Linked DNA regions of Arabidopsis thaliana. The protein of the gene in region 4 interacts with the protein of the main gene of each other region in a pairwise test. Each region holds a gene or a part of one and is shown on either strand. Other genes may lie near its edges.

The links.
Region 1: the proteins of CAT9 (region 4) and AAP8 interact in a protein complementation assay, tested with the Arabidopsis thaliana proteins (one large-scale study listed by BioGRID).
Region 2: the proteins of CAT9 (region 4) and GOS11 interact in a protein complementation assay, tested with the Arabidopsis thaliana proteins (one large-scale study listed by BioGRID).
Region 3: the proteins of CAT9 (region 4) and NHX1 interact in a protein complementation assay, tested with the Arabidopsis thaliana proteins (one large-scale study listed by BioGRID).

What each region holds. Positions count from the first base shown.
Region 1 is NC_003070.9:3,264,280-3,269,366, reverse strand, and holds AAP8 (amino acid permease 8), read right to left. Parts: upstream 3,482-5,087; 5' UTR 3,395-3,481; coding exon 3,070-3,394; intron 2,389-3,069; coding exon 2,295-2,388; intron 2,181-2,294; coding exon 1,966-2,180; intron 1,868-1,965; coding exon 1,725-1,867; intron 1,487-1,724; coding exon 1,259-1,486; intron 1,067-1,258; coding exon 641-1,066; 3' UTR 544-640; downstream 1-543. Other genes in the region: AT1G10000 (Ribonuclease H-like superfamily protein), read left to right, coding at 4,579-5,087. UniProt on the Arabidopsis thaliana protein: Amino acid-proton symporter. Stereospecific transporter with a broad specificity for glutamate, aspartate and neutral and acidic amino acids.
Region 2 is NC_003070.9:5,457,893-5,461,975, forward strand, and holds GOS11 (golgi snare 11), read right to left. Parts: upstream 2,468-4,083; 5' UTR 2,198-2,467; coding exon 2,159-2,197; intron 1,909-2,158; coding exon 1,669-1,908; intron 1,471-1,668; coding exon 1,306-1,470; intron 1,176-1,305; coding exon 1,062-1,175; intron 940-1,061; coding exon 826-939; 3' UTR 506-825; downstream 1-505. Other genes in the region: AT1G15870 (Mitochondrial glycoprotein family protein), read left to right, coding at 1-96, 191-353; AT1G15885 (uncharacterized protein), read left to right, coding at 2,658-2,798, 3,078-3,203; AT1G15890 (Disease resistance protein (CC-NBS-LRR class) family), read left to right, coding at 3,514-4,083. UniProt on the Arabidopsis thaliana protein: Involved in transport from the ER to the Golgi apparatus as well as in intra-Golgi transport. It belongs to a super-family of proteins called t-SNAREs or soluble NSF (N-ethylmaleimide-sensitive factor) attachment protein receptor.
Region 3 is NC_003076.8:9,551,648-9,558,115, forward strand, and holds NHX1 (Na+/H+ exchanger 1), read left to right. Parts: upstream 1-1,652; 5' UTR 1,653-2,120; intron 2,121-2,463; 5' UTR 2,464-2,603; coding exon 2,604-2,768; intron 2,769-2,840; coding exon 2,841-2,959; intron 2,960-3,380; coding exon 3,381-3,478; intron 3,479-3,589; coding exon 3,590-3,649; intron 3,650-3,736; coding exon 3,737-3,783; intron 3,784-3,875; coding exon 3,876-4,070; intron 4,071-4,159; coding exon 4,160-4,206; intron 4,207-4,296; coding exon 4,297-4,363; intron 4,364-4,449; coding exon 4,450-4,550; intron 4,551-4,639; coding exon 4,640-4,880; intron 4,881-4,968; coding exon 4,969-5,031; intron 5,032-5,112; coding exon 5,113-5,196; intron 5,197-5,289; coding exon 5,290-5,619; 3' UTR 5,620-5,947; downstream 5,948-6,468. UniProt on the Arabidopsis thaliana protein: Acts in low affinity electroneutral exchange of protons for cations such as Na(+) or K(+) across membranes. Can also exchange Li(+) and Cs(+) with a lower affinity.
Region 4 is NC_003070.9:1,800,561-1,805,523, forward strand, and holds CAT9 (cationic amino acid transporter 9), read right to left. Parts: upstream 3,441-4,963; 5' UTR 3,383-3,440; coding exon 3,133-3,382; exon of another isoform or gene 3,048-3,132; coding exon 2,638-3,047; intron 2,559-2,637; coding exon 2,382-2,558; intron 2,311-2,381; coding exon 2,086-2,310; intron 1,974-2,085; coding exon 1,797-1,973; intron 1,701-1,796; coding exon 1,464-1,700; coding exon of another isoform or gene 1,437-1,463; exon of another isoform or gene 1,115-1,436; coding exon 1,019-1,114; coding exon of another isoform or gene 1,001-1,018; exon of another isoform or gene 943-1,000; coding exon 805-942; 3' UTR 550-804; downstream 1-549. Other genes in the region: AT1G05930 (B3 domain protein (DUF313)), read left to right, coding at 289-373; AT1G05950 (uncharacterized protein), read right to left, coding at 4,013-4,164, 4,256-4,322, 4,392-4,546, 4,627-4,693, 4,809-4,963. UniProt on the Arabidopsis thaliana protein: Permease involved in the transport of the cationic amino acids.

The DNA.
Region 1 (5,087 bases), 1.5 Mb from region 4:
CAATGACAAATGACCAGGATTAGGGGATGCATCTCTTGGTTAGATGCGCCATATGGGTAGGTAACCGCAAGGCAATTGTTTGGTTACATGGCGGTTATGATGGTAGCCATCAAGTGACATACGACCACAAAACCTTGAAAATGACTTTGTAAGCAAATGCAGAGTAGAAACGTTAATAGAAAACCAAACTTGCCTTGATCCTCTATTGCCCAACTCCTCCAATACATAAGATGTGATAGCAACTTATGTAGGACACACCAAACCAAATAAATTACACAATCTGTGAGTGTCTGTTTTCAAGATTTCCCCGACAATTCCATTAAGCAAAATAAATAATAATAACTCGAAATTGACACAACCACACGAATTTGAAAAAAGCTGAAATCCATATCTCATGGGACTCAAACATCCAATGTTGATTCAATAATTGTAGTCCTAAAAATAAATCAATAACTAATACATTTTCATAAATTTTAGTACTAATACATAAGTTAGCATTTTGGTTTTTAACATAGCTGAAAACAGAACGTCACATTATTTGGAGAAACATTAAGTACTAAATATTTAGCATGAAATAAATTTCATATAATTCATATGGATCACAAGGTTTTTTTTTGGCAAACATAGATTATAAGTCACACTAGTCTAAATTCTTGAAGGGCTTGTATGACTTGACACTATTAATTAAGCCAATGATGGATCCTACGGCGGCAAGGGCCGAGACGATCAAGCAAACCAATACGAGGAGGTTCAAGGCCAACCATCTACGAGAATACTTCTTGACTTTAGCCTGCGCAATGTGCATTGCCACCGGAAAATAAACTGTGAGTGGCCAGAACGCGAATGCCCCTAGCAAACCCAAGATCGCATTGAAGAAGGGGAATATCATTGCTACAAATGTTGTCAAAACAACATAGCATGTCCTCCAAACCAGTCTGAAGAGGTTGACACGACATTTTCCAAGCAAAGGAACCTTTGACGAGTATTCTTTGTTGATGAAATTGCTTTGAGGCCATTTTTTGTTGCAGTTTTCCTCAACAAACTGGAAAAACGGCTGCGCATACACCTGCGAATAATACAGGGATAAAAAAAAAAAAAGAGCATTTTTTAGAAACAATATTTAGTAATAACTCCATTTCTACAATCTTCTGAATTGTTAAAGCTAAAAATTCTAACACAATAATGAGACTTTTAATGAACTTGAACACGGTAAATGTATGTTACACACTTATCCTATTCTTTTGTTTGTGAGTTATACCTGATAGGCACCTATTAGATGGAGAGCAATGCAAGCATTGGCAAAGTCGATGAGCCAATAAGGTTCGTAAAAACCAAAATCGGTAAGGAAGTCACCAGGGGCTTGGTTGCCGAACGCAGCATATCCGATGCAACCACACAAGATGTAGAAAACAGTTGTGGTTGAGACTCCGACAAGACTTGCTCGTTTCATCACTTTGTTCTCTGGTGGGCTTGATCTCAATGTGTCCTGCAAAATAAACAAGACATACTACTAGAGCGTCACTATCTTTAGAGCTTCACATATCTAAAATATGAAACTATTTTTATCCATCATCCATCCATCTATATTTTTTCCTAACTGTCTAATTAATAATAACATCTTATCTTCAAGGTATTCTTATTTTACCTCTCTTTGGCGAAATTAATAATAACAAGCAAATGAAAACAATAGTAAACGGAAGATAGTAGGAATCAGTAGTACATGCCTGAATCTCGATGAGAATAGTGGTAAAAGCGTATGAAAAGGCAATGTCTCCAATCGCTTGAAACAATTTCCAAACTTTTTCAGACGCAGTTACGTCCACACCTATCACTGTCCCTGTCAATTCTGTCTTACCAATCTTCCCACCTTTCATATATATTGTATACCATTTTCACGGTTAGTGTCAACTTTGAAGAATCATCCATATAAACCACTATGTTTTAAGATAAAGAAGGGGAATGTACTTGCTACAGTAGCGATGGCTAGGCCTATTCCGATAGACGCATAAGAGAAGGACATAACCGCGGCGATGATGGATAGGAAAGAGAGCTTGTGGAAGTTAGGAAGCTGGCTCAGAATGATCTGGACGATCCCAAATGCCGCCATGTATGGATAATTCGATACAGAACATTTCGCTTTATGTCCCTTGTCATGATAACAATTTGATTTCCCAATCGCTCTAACGAAGACGTACAAAAACACCAATCAAACAATTATTAGTAATTTTATTCAGAACAACATGTTAGTATAACCATAACAAAATAATCGAAATAAATCAGAATCTTTGACTTACACTAAGCTTATGGAGGCAGTGATGGTGTAACCAATAGTGACCCCTACGAGATTCACGTACTGTGCCACTCCACATAGCTGAACCTTTTTACCACCTGCGTTTTATGTTATTAAAGAAGAAAAATGATTACTCTTGTACTACTATCAAATACTACCAATCTTTTGGTCTTATGGCAAAGTTTCTAAACATCCCGCATAATTCCAAATTTTCAACGAGGGGTCAACAATCGAATTTATAACATTCTTTAACGGGATAAATTGAATTGACTATGTTACCAATCCTAATCAATTTAATTTATTAACTAAGTTATGAAAGAATGAAGATTATCTTCCTTTTTTTTATATAGATTTTGATAATTAATTCATATCTTCCCATGAAAGAGCATGCACACTTGGCAAAATCGTAAATCATTTTTTTCTAACAACCATATTTTTTTCTTTCATTGTTCAACAACAATAATGTTCTTCAACAAATTTACATGGTAAAAAATTGTTGAAATGAGCCAATTATACTGTAGATTTACAAATTCCAACTTAGCATTAAATATATATTTTTAGATCAGATTTTTTTTCTTTCGCCAGCCATCATCATTGTGACAGAAATGGAAGAAAATCAAAACACATGTCCTAAATTGAGACTAGTTAGGCAAAATCTAAATGATATCAAATGAACAAAATCCTTGTTCATCTGAGAAAAAATGTCTAGAAAACTGAAAAATCTGTGAAAAACAATGCTGATAAAGACACAAAATGAATTTGTTTATATGAATCCATACCAAGGTAAGATCGGACGACGCCCATGTAATTATAGTTGCGTGTTCCGGTGATGGAGTCCGGCGAACGGTAACAGTCGGCGAGCAAGGTGGACGTGTAGTAAGTAATGATGGCGAAAGCGACCAAAACTGTGGTTCCTGCCACCCAACCAAGCTGTGCTATAGCCCAAGCCAACGACAGCACCCCTGAGCCTATGACCGCCGTGATTATGTGCGCACTCGCCGTCCAAAATGTTCCCGTTCTCTTCTCTCGACCATCGTCGTCGACGCTTTTCACGGCGGCGTCACCCGACTCCACCGCCGAGGGATTGTTGTATGCGTCCATCATTGTGAGAGAACCACTGAACCAGAGGAGAGAAGAGAGGGGAAGAGAGTTATTGACAGAGGTCGTCTTATTAGAGTACTCCCTCACAATCACGTACTTACATGTATTATATACACAAATATCGATGTTTATATGGAAAGAGCATCTTTGTACGTTGAATCTTATTTATTAAGAGAATCTTCTATTACGAGGATTTATTTCTTTTGACTTTGATTTTGAATGTGTAACCACTATTGCTTATTCCGGAAACAAAAATTGGTCCGCATGTTGAAAAGAGGATTTACCTACATTAACGACACTACGAATAATCGAAATTAGGTAACTGATTAAAATTAGATGAGTAAAACAGAGAGATATTTCCTTCAGATCTTGGCCTCTTGCATAGCTATATCCTCTCTTCTATCTTGCTCATTTATCTTCTCAAATCCTCACATGCACATGATTCATTAATCGGGAAATTAAATCATTAACATTGAGTTATAATGATGTATTGATGTGAATCTATATATATATATTGTTGTATCAACTAAATATTATGATATATCTACAACATTTTGTTATTAGTATCGCATCAAATACAAAATTATGTGGATTTACATGTTTGTATTATATTTTACTACTATTTTAACGGTTTACAAAAACATGTAAACCAAACCATAAATTTCACTAATTTCAATTATGTACGATTTTGAGTCTTCATTACTTCTTATCGTTTCTTTCACTCTTATAGTCTTATCTCACAATCCGTAATTTGTGCACAATTAATGAATTCAATGTTGTATTTTGTCGTATTAAATATGGATTTTGACCAACATAAACCTGATTTTTTAGTGGATTATTTTAAAATATATCCACAAAATATTCCTTCGAATAAAATCCCATTCTAACTATATCCATAAAATGCCCATCCCAATTGTCGAGACAGAATCAGATATCTAAAATGACACATAATAAATGTCGCATATTACACCATTAAAGTACGGTACGTTGACCTCCTACCTGACTATGAACAGCTCATCAGACAGCTCCCTGTGCCCTCAAGTAGGGGTGTGGATAAATTGGTCTGGTTACCGGTAAAATCTGGAGAGTATACCTCAAGATCAGGTTACGGGGTAACATCCTTGACAGTGCTACCAACAGCTCAGGTCCGCTTTAACTGGCAAGCAAACCTTTGGAAACTCCACACTATGCCGAAGATCAAACTTTTCCTATGGAAGGCGGCTGCAGGAGCTCTCCCTGTGGGTGCACAACTCGTAAGAAGGCATATATCATCAACTTGGGATTGTGCACGCTGTGGGGCTCCGGAGACTTCCACCCACATGCTGTTTCACTGTGATTTTGCGGCACAAGTTTGGAACCTAGCGCCCCTCCAATTGGGTCACATCCCTATCGGTACCCCTATTTTGGAAGCTCTTAACTTACTTAAGAAAACCATCGTTCTCCCCCCGGTTGGGATTCATACAGCAACCCTCTTCCCCTGGATCTGTTGGCACATCTGGAAAGCCAGAAATCAGCTTATCTTCCAAAATTCTCATTTCTCTGTGATAGAGACTGTTACAAAGGCGGTTCAGGATGCCTTAGCGTGGCAATCCGCCCAATTGGCGCTCCCAAAAGTTCGTGTAGCGACCCCCCGCCCAAACTCCACAACAACTCTGACTCATGATTTTCTCTGCTACGTGGATGCGGCTTGGCAACA
Region 2 (4,083 bases), 3.7 Mb from region 4:
GTGTTCTGCTTGGCCTGATACCATACAGATCACCAAGTTCTTTGTTCGTAAAAGCAGCCAGAACTCACCAAATGCCTATATTGGACCTGAATTCCAGTACTGTGATTTGATCACTTCTTTTTTAAACATAAACATTTTCTTTTTGTTTCTGATACGATGGAACTAAACTGTCTTTTGTTCAATTTTACAGGGAAATGGAAGATGAACTTCAAGACTCGGTTTATCGATTTTTGGAGGAAAGAGGTATAAGTGATGATCTTGCTGAGTTCTTGCATCAGTACATGAAGAACAAAGATAAAGCTGAGTATATTAGATGGATGGAGACTGTTAAATCTTATGTTGAGCAAAAATAAAATCTTCTGCCGACCACATTCTTAAGCAGCCAATGAATGTTCCCTTGGATATATGATTATATGGCTTAGATGGACTTTTATTGGCATGGTTCTTAGTTTCCAGAGGTAATGTGACATTTAAATCTAATATGGATTAGTTGCGAGCATATATATGATAATGATTATATTAAAGCCGTATTGCATGTAGGCGCCATGTACCCTTTTCAATGCAGCAACATACTCCCACAAATAAAAAGTTACAAGATGAGAGAAACAGATGGTTGTACTGTATGTGTGGCATCTCCAAAATAACTCAACATTTAACAAGCTCGTCTAGACTGCAAAGACAGGGATGAAATTTTCTGTACACAATATTTATGTTTTTGATCTTTAGATTCTTTACTAGAACACCGATAATTGCAGAACAAATTGACATCATGGGAAAACCAGACGTGGCCCAACATAAAGATGAAACGAAAGAAATGGGCAAATTCTACTTGGTTATCCAGTAAATGAATATGAGAAATGTGCATACAGCCGCAACGAGTGAAAGAATGATTGTATCCATCGACTTTTTCCTCTTTATCGCTGCCAGAATAGTGTTCACCTGCAGTGGTTTTAACCATCCAATTGCAGGGTGAGATATAGGATAAACACAGGCCATAACCGAACATAAAGAAAGCAACGAGCAAAAGAGTGTGTAAATAAGACTAGGAAAGCTCTTCGTACCGTAGGTAGACGGCTGGCGACATTGCTAAGCTTTGAGTTGATGCCTCCAAAAGTTGAACGTTGAAACACAAGCGTACCGAGTGTTGCCTGAGCTTGTGAAATGACACCGTCCATCTGCACCGTTTATATAATAGTCAGCTCACATAAGTCATGACGTGTTCGATTAACTTGAGAAAGCCAGGCCTATTGTACGCTACAGCTGTAGAGTCTAACAAAGGTTAATCGCAAAGGAGAGTTTATATACCTGAGCTGTATTGCGGTTGATTCCCATATGTTCCTTGATCAGGGCTTGTTCAGACCCATATCCATCTTCTAAATCTAATCTAGTCCGATCAAATTCTCTAAAGTCCTCAAGAAGTGAAGCATGCTCTTGTTTTGCTCTAAGACTGGAGCGGTGTCGATAAAACTCCTGCATTTTGAATGAGTCATACATACAGGAACAAGACTGATTTACAACGAAGGTTGAGTCATAAACTAGTCCAAGAGCAGAGTGTGAACAGATGGTTAAAAAGATAACACTCATTTCATTACTAATCAGTATATAATCAACACAAGCTATAGAATAAGGCAAATATTCAAATGGTATGAGTCAGGAAAGGAACAGTACCTGTGTCAGATCTTGAAGGATCTCTTGATGTCGAGTTAAAGTATGGGAGACCATTTCTGACCCACCAGAAGATACCCATGCTTGCATCTGAGCATTAACTTGTTGCAGTTGCCTAAGAAGTAAGTCAATCCCAGCTTCAAGATCACTCTCATTACCATCTGATTTTGATAAAGCCTTTGTGGAAACAAGTCTACGATATGAATGCATCTGCTCGTCAAGCTGAGCTTCAATCTTTCTAGCCTGTGGGATTCAATACAACACAAAGCTTATTCAAATATCAATTGGATCCAGTAAAAAGATAAATCATTGAGAATTAGCCAACAAAACCAATAAATTCCCCAATTCGAATCGAACCCAGAAGATTGATATCAATTCAGACCTCAAATATTCGAAATTCAAGACAGATTTTCAGACACTACCAGCTTCCCCAACACAATTACCTAGTAGCTTCGAATCAAACGACACAATAATTTTATAAAAAGAAAAATACCTGTTTCCGTAAAGCATCCCAAGAGCTAGGCACATCCATGGCGTCTACTGAATCTGTCAAAATCTCTCCTTTATGAAAGCGGATCGTGTCCTTTCCGGCAAGAGACCTTTTTCCGATATAAATCAGATGCGACAATCTTCTTCCTCGTCCTCGTCACCAAAGGTTTGAGCCCCTAAAAGATGCGATCCAATTGGTTCGAAATTGAGACAAGTAGTGAACGGAACGGATCGGATTGAGAGAAGGATAGAGTTGGTTCGGAGACGCAGACAGAATTTCTGCGTACCCCTTCAACGGAAAATTGCTTTTCAGTTTTGCGTAATCACAAATTAATTAATTCGATGACCTGAGATTCGGCGGGTATAATCCAGTGTTTTCCACCCTACAGTAAGTTTATATATAAGTTGACCTACACATTTAGTCAAACTTGCAAGCGATACGTGGATAATAGTAAACCTTAACATAAACGACATCGTTCTCCAGTAAAAATAGACCCGGCTCGATGGCTCGAGTCCTAGAAGCTTACCGGGTTCTCTCATCAAACTGCTCCATTCGGATATACTTCCACTCTCAAGTCTCACTCCCTCACAATCAATTCAAGCGATTGCCGCCCGTCGTCGCTTTCAAATTTGTTCTTCCGCCGGTAACTAATTCTCTTTCGCTTTGACTACGCTTTTGCTTCACTGCTTCGATCTCGTTCGGTTTCCTTCTGTTTGCTTCTTCAGAAATTCCTCGAATTGCTTTTGATCAATCTCAACTCAATCTGTGGATTACTATTTCATCGTGTTTTCACTTGTTGGTGCTCGGGAAAATTATGCAATTTTTCGAGTTGTTAATGGCTTTAGTTCTTCGTGTTTGCTCTTTAATGAATTACGAACTTTTTCCAAAGAGAAATAAGGTCTATTTTTTTTGGTGAAAGTAGGAGATTTTTTATGGCGGAGGGACAATTGACGAACATATCGGAGATGATACTGAAGAAGAGGAAGAAAGGGATGAGCTTGAATTGAGTAATTACGGCAACAATTACAGTAGCAGAGTGTTACATTAGTTGAAAGTTGAAAGATAGTTGTGCTCTTCATATTTTTTTATGGTCAATATCATTTTGTGGATAGAAAACTTTATCTTATAGTTTCTTAATGTTTGATGGTCAATGTCATTTTGTGGATATCTGAACACGCATCTTGACTTTTCGTTGAAGCTGCCACTTTCAATAAGATATTAGAACTTGCAGTCTGACTTTTAAATTTTCTAATCAATATCAGGAGGGCACGATTGTACTCTTTTTCCTCTTCTCCATTCAGTGCTCCTTATCTTGTGTTGTTTCCTGCATCGTCTTGATATTTGAAAGTTTGAGTAAGATGGGAAACTGTGTAGCACTAGAAATATCTTGTGATCAAACGTTGAATCATGCTTGTGGCTGCTTATTTGGTGATCGGAATTACATTCTCAAGATGGAGGCTAATCTCGAGGCTCTGCAGAATACTATGCAAGAGCTCGAGGAGAGAAGAGATGATCTGTTAAGAAGAGTTGTCATAGAAGAAGACAAAGGTTTGCAACGGCTTGCTCAAGTTCAAGGTTGGCTTTCAAGGGTTAAAGATGTTTGTTCTCAAGTCAATGATCTGCTGAAAGCTAAATCAATTCAAACTGAAAGGTTATGTCTCTGTGGATATTGTTCTAAGAATTTCATATCTGGCCGCAATTACGGAATAAATGTACTGAAAAAGTTGAAACACGTGGAAGGACTTCTAGCTAAAGGAGTTTTTGAAGTGGTGGCAGAGAAAATTCCTGCGCCTAAGGTGGAGAAGAAGCATATCCAAACCACAGTTGGGTTGGATGCAATGGTCGGAAGGGCATGGAACAGCCTCATGAAAGATGAACGAAGAACTTTGGGTCTTTATGGTATGGGGGGAGTAGGTAAAACCACGCTC
Region 3 (6,468 bases), on a different chromosome or scaffold from region 4:
TTCCAAAATAAGTGGATAGCTCTATATGAAATTTGGCCCTACTTTATTTGACATGACCTTTTAAATATTTGAAAAGCCATGAGACAATTTATTTAATTTTCATAACCGTGATAATAAAAACAATTTGTTTGTAAGAACAATTACATAACAACATTTATCTAAATTATGAGTCTCGTCGGCGGTATGTAAAATATGTTAATATTATCCTTTTTCTATGTAATAGAATAATAGATTATCTTTCTTGGTTGGCACTAAATTGCACGTTAAATACTTGAAAACTTTGTATGTTGAAATAGTAATCCAATTTTAACGAAACTTTTTATTTTGTAAAGATTTTGATGGGCTTTTTAAAACAATTTCTACGACGTGGACAGACTTTGGAGTTTGTATGATTAATTAGATTCAGATCCTCACGTAGATTGAATAAACAATAACTCAATAATTGATCCTTCTCAAATTTTAATAAAATAAAAACATTTTTTAATAATAAAATAACAACATTACAAAATACCAAAATATGTAGGGTAATAGTTTTTGCTAATATAGTTATTATATTATTACTAAAATATAAATTCACATGTTAATATTTGTTGTTGACAAAAACAAAAACAATGATATTACAAAAAAACAAATAGGGTGATTAAACGCTAGAAGATCCGTAACCATTTTGATGACAAAAAGATATGGTACTAAGATGAACACGTTTTTGAGAATATTCAAAACAAATTCATTTCCGAAAGATTATCAATTTTCAAGCATACAGTATGATCTGGTAAACTATAAATGGTAGAACCACGATAATTAACTAGTCGATTCTATATGTTATGACATAGACTTAGCTAGGAGCATATCCGGCAGACCGGCACTAATCTAATGATTTCATGAGTTGTTATTATCTAAACTAATTAACAATTAATAGAATGAAATATAGTTTTATATTTAAGTTTTTTTTTTTTTTTTTTTTTTTTTCGGAATATCAGGAGGTTCTGGGCCGAAACCCGTAATCCCTTCAGGCCTGAAACCACAACATGTAATATTAGTTTCGTCCCAAACATCACTCGAACTAACGACCTCTAAGTTTCGCCTAGGATCTTTACCAATTGAGGTAACAACGCTTGGTCAAGTTTAAATCATTGTTGCTTTCTGTGAGATTTTGATCCCTATAACCTAATTTATCTTATGAGAAATTAACCTTTTTTGATAAAGGATAAGGAAAATAGTAACCTTGTATAAAAAAATTCATTGCCATTTTCATATATATATATATATATATATATATATCCTAAAATGTATATCTCTAATAAAATTAGAAGAAATGATACCAAAAATAAAGGTGAAATCATGATAAAATTTTGTTTTTTTTTGTTTTGGTTCATTGAGTTTGCCATTAACGCTTTTTTTTTATAAATAATTTCGTCTACACAAATTCATCCATATAATATTTTCTTTTACTGCATCAGAGTTTCACTATGTATTTAGGTTTTTTATGAATTTTAAAAAAGTTCAGCATCAAGGTGAAGAAAATTCCAAAAAAATAAATAAAACGGTGACCCAAAAAAAACTTGTTGTCTTCAAAACCAAAAGTACTCGACAAATCAAATAGATAAATCATGAATCTTAGTACAGTCAGGTTTTATCGTCTACGATAAGTTCCACAATAAATCCAAACACTAAACTGTTCAGATCTCAGATAGTAACTTTAAATCAACGGCTATAAATTCGCCATTTGTACTTTCATTTACACAACAGAGAATAATACATACACTCTATCTCTCTCCTATTCGTAACTTATATTTCTCTCTCTACTGTGTTTAGAAATTGGAATCTTCTCTCTTCTCTATCTCCCTCTCTCTTAAAAAGGGACCGTACACGTCTCTCTCTATTTCCAGTAAAAAATCGAAATTTCGTATAATTTCCTCAGTCCCGTAATTTTCTCCTTTTTTTTCTTCCCCAATTCCTTCAATTTTCGAATTCGCCTCTCTGTTTCGTTCCTCGTAGACGAAGAAGAAGAAGAATCTCAGGTTTTAGCTTTCGAAGCTTCCAAAATTTTGAATTTTGATCTTCTGGGCTCTTTTGTAAATCAGACTGAAGATATTTAGATTACCCAGAAGTTGTTCAAGGTAAAGCAATTCAGATCAGATCCACCAATTTTTTTTTTTTTTTTCATTTGAAGTTTTTGTGTTTGTTGTTTGTTGTTGGGAGATATTTGAAATCTGGGTTATTAAAGTTCCGACCTAATTTCATATTGTGCTATTACCAAAAATAGGAAATTTTGAGAATTTGGTTTTATGTTGTCATCATTTAATAATATTAGCCTTTTGTGGGATTTGTGCTTTTTGTTGTTTGTATCAAAAGTCTCAGATTTGGATTCACTTTTTGTGTGTTTTTTATAGTCAAAGCTGATTCATGCTATACATTACACAGCTTCACTGTTTAGTCTCAGCTCTGTTTTCTTGAAAACAGGAATGGTTTCAGTGGACAGCACGGAAAGATAAAAGAGACTTTTTTTTCCAGATTTTGCTGATCCAAAATCTGAATAGTTGTTCATGTTCTTGGATCAAATCTGGAAAGAGGAAGTTTGTTGGATCTAGAAGAAGATAACAATGTTGGATTCTCTAGTGTCGAAACTGCCTTCGTTATCGACATCTGATCACGCTTCTGTGGTTGCGTTGAATCTCTTTGTTGCACTTCTTTGTGCTTGTATTGTTCTTGGTCATCTTTTGGAAGAGAATAGATGGATGAACGAATCCATCACCGCCTTGTTGATTGTAAGTTCACTCAATTGAAAAGAGTAATTACTGAGTTCCAACTTGAATGACATTTGAGCTATTTGGTTGCAGGGGCTAGGCACTGGTGTTACCATTTTGTTGATTAGTAAAGGAAAAAGCTCGCATCTTCTCGTCTTTAGTGAAGATCTTTTCTTCATATATCTTTTGCCACCCATTATATTCAATGCAGGGTCAGTCTTTTTTTTTACATCCATTTGAGCCTTTTCCTCTATGTTGGGATATATCTTTTAATGTAGGACTTAGTTTGGTAGGGTCTCATGCTATATGATACGTTTAGTTGCACGGGTTTTACCTACAAAAGTTACATAAAACAGATTGAAAGAAAAAACTTAGTTTTGAAAAGTATGCATTATGTGATTCTAGGTGATAAAGTTAGTACAACGCTTTAAAGATGTTGATTAGTAAGCTTAAGCTCTACTTCTATAAATACCTGTCATACATCAACTTTTTCTAGTACTTGTGATTGTTATAAAGAAAAGAGGGCATGATGTCTTTTTTTGAAGTAGTTAGATTTATACACGTGCAAGTAAGTGTGGTCCTGGATTTGTCTTTGTCATGGATCTTTCTCAGATTTGTTGTTGTCTATTTCAGGTTTCAAGTAAAAAAGAAGCAGTTTTTCCGCAATTTCGTGACTATTATGCTTTTTGGTGCTGTTGGGACTATTATTTCTTGCACAATCATATCTCTAGGTAGGTTACTTCGCTTTACGATTGGCTGAAACACCGCTGAATGCGGCTTTTTGGATTAGGTCGAGATAGTTTTGTATATCTCTACTGATTTTCTGGTGGTTCTTGAAACAGGTGTAACACAGTTCTTTAAGAAGTTGGACATTGGAACCTTTGACTTGGGTGATTATCTTGGTAAGGCCTGAACTAATGGCTTCTTTTTGGTTCCTATTGCTTTACTTAATCGGGAGACTTGATTTGTTTTTGGTGTTTGAATCTCAGCTATTGGTGCCATATTTGCTGCAACAGATTCAGTATGTACACTGCAGGTAATGTGTTTTCTCCAACATGACTTAAATTACTTACAAACCCTGAAACATAGTGGACCGAAAGTTTCTGTTCCTGTTGTGTTGTGATATAGGTTCTGAATCAAGACGAGACACCTTTGCTTTACAGTCTTGTATTCGGAGAGGGTGTTGTGAATGATGCAACGTCAGTTGTGGTCTTCAACGCGATTCAGAGCTTTGATCTCACTCACCTAAACCACGAAGCTGCTTTTCATCTTCTTGGAAACTTCTTGTATTTGTTTCTCCTAAGTACCTTGCTTGGTGCTGCAGTAAGTCCATTGTTTTCTTCCCTGCCATTCTTTCTTGTAGCTGCTATATGCACGCTCTGGTGTTCACATCTTTGTTATTCATCTTGCAGACCGGTCTGATAAGTGCGTATGTTATCAAGAAGCTATACTTTGGAAGGTACATATTTAACGTCATATATGTGACTTGTTTTCTTTAAGTTGTTTCCTGTTTGGTCTAACGTAGATGGCCTCACATTAATTGTCACAGGCACTCAACTGACCGAGAGGTTGCCCTTATGATGCTTATGGCGTATCTTTCTTATATGCTTGCTGAGGTTAGATTCTTTTAAATAACACGAACATATTCATTCAGTTGCATTCAAACACAAATTATATTGATGTTATATTAATTTGGTTGCAGCTTTTCGACTTGAGCGGTATCCTCACTGTGTTTTTCTGTGGTATTGTGATGTCCCATTACACATGGCACAATGTAACGGAGAGCTCAAGAATAACAACAAAGTATGCAAACTTTAGTTTCTCCGCCTTTTGCTGAGATTAACACTTTCTACCTCCCAATGATTATCTTATGATTTTTTTCGATGAAACAGGCATACCTTTGCAACTTTGTCATTTCTTGCGGAGACATTTATTTTCTTGTATGTTGGAATGGATGCCTTGGACATTGACAAGTGGAGATCCGTGAGTGACACACCGGGAACATCGATCGCAGTGAGCTCAATCCTAATGGGTCTGGTCATGGTTGGAAGAGCAGCGTTCGTCTTTCCGTTATCGTTTCTATCTAACTTAGCCAAGAAGAATCAAAGCGAGAAAATCAACTTTAACATGCAGGTATGTATCATTCTACTTGGTACTAATAGATTCAATAATTCTTCTGGATTTCAGCTATTTATATCTATCATTTTTTCCCATTCTTTAGGTTGTGATTTGGTGGTCTGGTCTCATGAGAGGTGCTGTATCTATGGCTCTTGCATACAACAAGGTATAAAAAGAATGTCTTTAAATACTCTCTATGAAGCTTCAAATGACACAAATCATCATTTAACACTTGTTTCTATTGTAGTTTACAAGGGCCGGGCACACAGATGTACGCGGGAATGCAATCATGATCACGAGTACGATAACTGTCTGTCTTTTTAGCACAGTGGTAAGAAATCTCTGGATGATCAAATGAGTTACATAATATTTCTTAATTGAATTGGACATTTGGTTAATAGATTCTCTTGAACCTTGTTTTCAGGTGTTTGGTATGCTGACCAAACCACTCATAAGCTACCTATTACCGCACCAGAACGCCACCACGAGCATGTTATCTGATGACAACACCCCAAAATCCATACATATCCCTTTGTTGGACCAAGACTCGTTCATTGAGCCTTCAGGGAACCACAATGTGCCTCGGCCTGACAGTATACGTGGCTTCTTGACACGGCCCACTCGAACCGTGCATTACTACTGGAGACAATTTGATGACTCCTTCATGCGACCCGTCTTTGGAGGTCGTGGCTTTGTACCCTTTGTTCCAGGTTCTCCAACTGAGAGAAACCCTCCTGATCTTAGTAAGGCTTGAGGGTAACGTGGAAGAAAAGCTTTGATTTTTTTTGGTAGAAAAGGGTGATTCAAATTATGCTTTTGTGTAAATTATCCATTTGTAATATTGTTTGTGAGGACAGAAATCTGTCCTAACGTTTTGAGAGCAGAAAGCAAAACATGGCAACTTTGAAGTGTTTGATTGATGTATGTAATTATATTCATATTTGTTTTGTTGTAACACAAACTACACATTTGTTTATGTTTTGAATTTGGTTTTTGCTTCGAACTTGAGGATCGGATTGGTACGGTTTGGTTCGATTTCGGACAAAAATATTAATAAAGAATTATTTCTTTATGTCAAAACAAAAATTTAGTGAACCTAATGGCTAATGATATCAAAATTTGGTAGGTCTTGAAACTTATAATCTAACTAGATTTTAACCCGCGGTATACCGCGGGAACAATTTATTTTTTAAAGTTAGTATATATAAAAGTTTACAAATTGTATCTATTTATAAAATAATTTTATTTTATAGTTTACAAATGTTATTAAGTAACATCCTGCCAAACCCGTCCTGTAAAAAAGAAAACCATTTATTTTATTAATGTTGATCTTATTTATGATATGTTTATGAATCATTGTCTAAATATTTTGTAATTTTGTAGTAATTAAATGCTATCAGATTATATCTCTTCGCTTTGATGATTATAATCGAATTGTTATAGTTATGGAGAAAAGCAATATCAAAAATGATAATTTTGTAGTAATTAAATGATATTAAATATTTTAGAAGTATTATTTTAGTAAATAATCGTGTAGTTAATGTGGAGAGATTTTGGGAAGATTGTTAAATGTCAAATATTTAATTCGAAGATTTTCTTTTTA
Region 4 (4,963 bases):
AAGATTATACCTTTAGAGTTATTATAAGAGGAAAACGAAGTAAATCAGAACGGATTAACGAACTATATAAAACAACAAAGTCACTCTTTTCAGTTTTCATTCACAACAAAATCTTAATGGGGCTTCCACTTCTTCTTCATCGCCTTTTTCTTTAACCTTCTTCAAAACTACATTGCCGAGTCCAAGAAGACTCCATCTTTGTGTCTAACGGGAGACCACGAGCCCCAAGAGGCGTGTGGTGTCACCGAGAGGGGTAAATCAGAAAGACATCAGTCTTTGGTCTTTCAGGTGGCGTGGAATCCTCTGTTTTGCTCTTGTTCCTCCTCTTACATTGAGACAGAGTAGCTCTTCCAATGCTCGCCGTCTCTGCTAAGCTTCTTGTCTCTGTGGAGATTGATCTTCATTTGTACAGCCGGCTAAGTTGGGGCAATTCTAGAGGGTTTTGGTCTTACTACAATGCTAGAGGGTTTGGATGTCTGTTATTAGTAAGCTTGTTGTTTCTGATTCTATACTATGATCCGTTGAATAACTCTAACATTGAGTATGTTTATGTGAACATTGCTAGCTTCTGGGATTATTTGGTAGCACAAAAGCCATTTTCAGTCATTCAAGGCTTTAGTTGAAATGCACAAGCATACTTTTATTAACTTCTTTACAACAATAATGTTTAACTGCCTTATCCCATCCAATCCTTAAACTCGACCTGAATATGTATGTGACATACAGTATGTCTCTCACGAAACGCAGAAACTTGCTATCAACTCTACAAATGGCTTTAAGTAACACAACTATAATGTAGCATTACTAAGCGTCGCTTTCAGTTTCAGGTGCCCTCTGATAATCCAACATGCTCGGATCTGCGTGGTACTGCCCATACAAGGCATAAACGGCAGTTGCAAGCACACTGACAACAACAAATCTTATCCATGCTTCATAATGCAACTGCACAGTAGCGGAAAAATCAAAGGTAGATCATATGGTATGTGAAATTAGTATAAAGTTAGTTCTTAGCGTGTACCTGAGCAAATAAGAAGATGTTGAAGAAAATGCAAACGGATGGCACAATGGGTACACCAGGACAGCTAAACCCAGAACCTAGAGGCAGAGCATAAGCCTGGAAGCGAAAAGCTGAGGGGTTTAACATGAAGCATAGCTAGCAAGGCATTTGCCTGATTTGTGGAGACAACCATGAGGGTATATTTCCTAATTGATGTTAACAAACTTCTCCTCTAAACCAAGAATGCAAAGACTTCAATAGTCACAGACTTTCATAGTATCACTGTAGAGTTCTAAGTGCCAGAACATGCTAGTGGTGGTCTCTATTTTATGCTGTATCAGTAAAAGACTTAGTATCTAGCATTTTAACAGGGGTGAAACTTGGTTTTTTTATTTTATTTTTTTTGGCGCTATGAAATTAAGAAGAGTGTGCTATGGAATTAAGGCTTATACTTAAGGCTACTTACTTGGCGATAATGAAGAACTGCTGAAGCAACAACTGCCACACCAACTGAGAGGAGAATAAATATAACTGAAGCACTGAAACGGTAAAATACGCCAGCACCAAAACCACTGCATGCAATTATAACAAGGCAAATGACGCCTTCCTGCCAACTTGATGTCCATCTATTGGACGACTCTCTATCTTTTTTATCATTCAGTCTCAATGCCACAACACAAGCCGCAACAACTGAATACCCAGTCTGAAGAAATGGAACACCGAAAATAATGTTAAACTGGAAAGTATAAGTATCAATAAGAAAAGCAAAGAGATATTTAAAATTAAGACCTTGACGTACCAATGTACCAACAGACAGAATATGGGAAAGACTATGTACATTAAATATGCCAGCTAAAACGCCAGCTACAATGCCGCACCAGATTTGAGAATGAAGAGGTGTATGAAGAGTTGGGTGTATTCTGGAAAAGATTGAAGGCAATAGACCATCCCTTCCAAGTCCCAGATATAACCTGGACTGTTTATCCGAAATATCATATGATTACTCAAGAGTGTTACCTTGGTTTGCATAATATACAAGTACATAATAAAAGAAATTACAAAAGAAATACATATATATATATTATCACCTGAACATAAAGACCAACAAGCAGAGTAGTTGTGAGTCCAGCAACAGCACCAATACTGATTAAGATTGAGACGAACTTCATACCCTTTGATGAAAAGGCTTCAGCTAAAGGAGCATCTTCGCTGAGGAGGCTAAAAGGGACCATCCCGGTGAGCACCAAACATACGCCAATATACAGCGAGATACAAACCAGAAGGCTCCCCATAATTCCGATTGGCAAATCGCGCTGAACAAGAATTAAACAGACATAAGAGACTTTGTAGATAGTATGTACATTCAACATATATATAGGCAGACCTGAGGGTTCTTCGATTCTTCAGCAGAATTAGCAACTGCATCAAATCCAACATATGAAAAGAAGACAACAGTAGCTCCAGTGAGAACTGCTTTAAAACCATTAGGCGCAAAAGGAGACCAATTTGCTACATCAATTTCAAAAGCACCGGCACAAATCACAACGAGAACGATCACGACCTACAGAAGAAACAATATAGTGAAGAAGAGTTTTTTTTGGTAAAGATAAGAAGAGAAGGTTAAAAGGAAAGAAGCTTACCTTAGTAGCAGTCATAACGGAGTTGACAGCGGAAGATTCTCGCACACCTTGGCATAGAACAAGGGTCAAGAGAGCAAGTAAAATGGGAGCCAAAATATTCAAAGAGAGAAGCCCTCCCAAGAGCTCTTTGCCGCTTCCCATCCAGAGAGGAATAGAGCCCTTGAGGGCTGGAAAAAGCTCAAGAAGAGCAACAGCATAGCTGGCCAAGCTACGGGAGATACTAGCGGCGCCAATATGATAGTCAAGCATGAGTTGAACGAAAACAAGAAAAGCTGTGATCTCATTGAAAGCTGAGTAAGAGTACATGTAAGCTCCACCAACAACAGCAGGGAAACGAGATGAAAGTTCAGCATAACAGAGAGCGTTCAACACACACGATGCTCCAGCTAGCAAGAAGCTGATTGTGACTCCTAGGCACGCAACGGCAGCAATAATCACTAAGCGATTCTGAACGAATCAAGGAGGTGGTGAGAAAAAGTAATTCATTCAACTGACCAGGTCCAGCATCGCGAGCGACGGTTCCGGTGACGACGAAGACACCGGCGCCGATGGAAGCGCCGACGCCCAACAGTATGAGGTCGAAAAGGCCGAGGCGACGAACCAGAGAGTCGCCAGAGGTGGAGCGAACGGCAGTCTGCGAGGACGGAGGGGGCAGTGATTTAGATCGGAGAGCTGAAGCACGGAAATGAGAGAACCATGTGGCGGAGGAGAGGCGTTGGTTGCTGAAACCTTCGTGGCCTCCCATGGAAACTTCAATTTGAGAGTTGAAGATTGATCGAGACGATGACTGAAATCACCCCCGGGATAATCAGAATCCAAATCAATAAATATTGGGCCAACCATTGGGCCCAACAGAGACCACTTAAACCCAATAACCCTCTAATGAACTGAAAGCTCGCGACGACATCTGTCTTTGGGCCTTTAGGTGCGATGGAGTCCTCTGTTTTGCCATGAGACAGTATAGCTCCTATTTTCGTTGTTGACAAGTTTCTTGTGTCTGTTGAGATTCATATTGGTCTAATCTTTCAGGCCATTGTTGAGGTTTTTGGTCTAGTTAACAATATTAGGGTTTTTTTTTACTAGGATTTCTTTCATCCCTCTTTAGCACTTTGTTGGGTTTTTGAGTTTCTAGGATTGTTTTAAATGCAGGAGGCTTAGGATTAGGTTTTTAACATGATTCTGGTTCTACTTTAGTTTCTGCATCAGTTAATACCTTTGACTTCTTGTAATATATCTCAAAATCTCAACCAGAGGATGGAGTTTTGTACAAATCTTGCTATTCGTCCAAAATGGCCATACATATCAAAATCAGGGTTGTTTTCTACTCATGCTGGAAGTTAGTTTGGTTTCTGAGTTGTTCTTGAATCTCACATAATCATGATAAGTTGGCTGCTGTGTCGTGTTGTAACTTTGTTAGCAAGCAAGCTGCCGCAGATTCCCTAGCTTCCTCAGCATCAGACTTTTCCTCTCCATGTATTGTACATGCGACATGATTCCCCGTGATTCTTACTTCAGCTTCATATCCACCTTTTTGAACAAAGCATCAACATCAACATGCAAATCTGAAGGGAGTAATGGAGCTGAACTACGAGTTTGGCAAATGATCTCAAAACTTTACCATCTGATGGAGCCACACGATAGTTTGGTAGTACCCAGTTATTCATGAGACAGATATCATCGAGTCTCTGCAATAAATAGGGGCAATGAATCTTAATTCTTTGAACAAGAAATGATTAAAGTAACCATAAACTAACCTGACACAGACTTTTAGTAGAAGGAAGAGTTTCACTGAGCTTCAGCCTCTTGTTGCTTTGGCATGCTGACTTGTCAAGAGATTCTTGAAGGTTACGCCTCGGGTATGTCTCGTTACAGCACTCGAGTACTGTTTCTAATTGCAGCTCCCAATCACCTATAACACCCACGAGATCACTAAGATTCATGTAAAAACAAAGCTGTGCAGAAAGGAAAAGTATATGTATATATACATACCTTTGATGTTCTGGATGCATTTATCACATTTAGCAATCTCGTCTTCTATGTTCCTCTGTTGACGAGTCTGCAGCCAGAGAAAAAGAGAGCAGCTCTTAATCATAAAATAAGGATATATATGCTATTGCCAATCAGTTTTTTTGCTGTGTTGTGTATCTTTGATCAAATTCTACAGTTATTACCAGTTTATCTCGTTTGCAAAGAAGAACTTTCAATGCAGTTTCGGATAGTGATGTTGCTTTAGAAAGAAGAGACGTCTGTAGCTCCTCAAGATTTGGATTAGAGTTATGAGCAGAAGCAGGAGTTGAATTAAGCTTATGAATGCTATTAAGTCTGT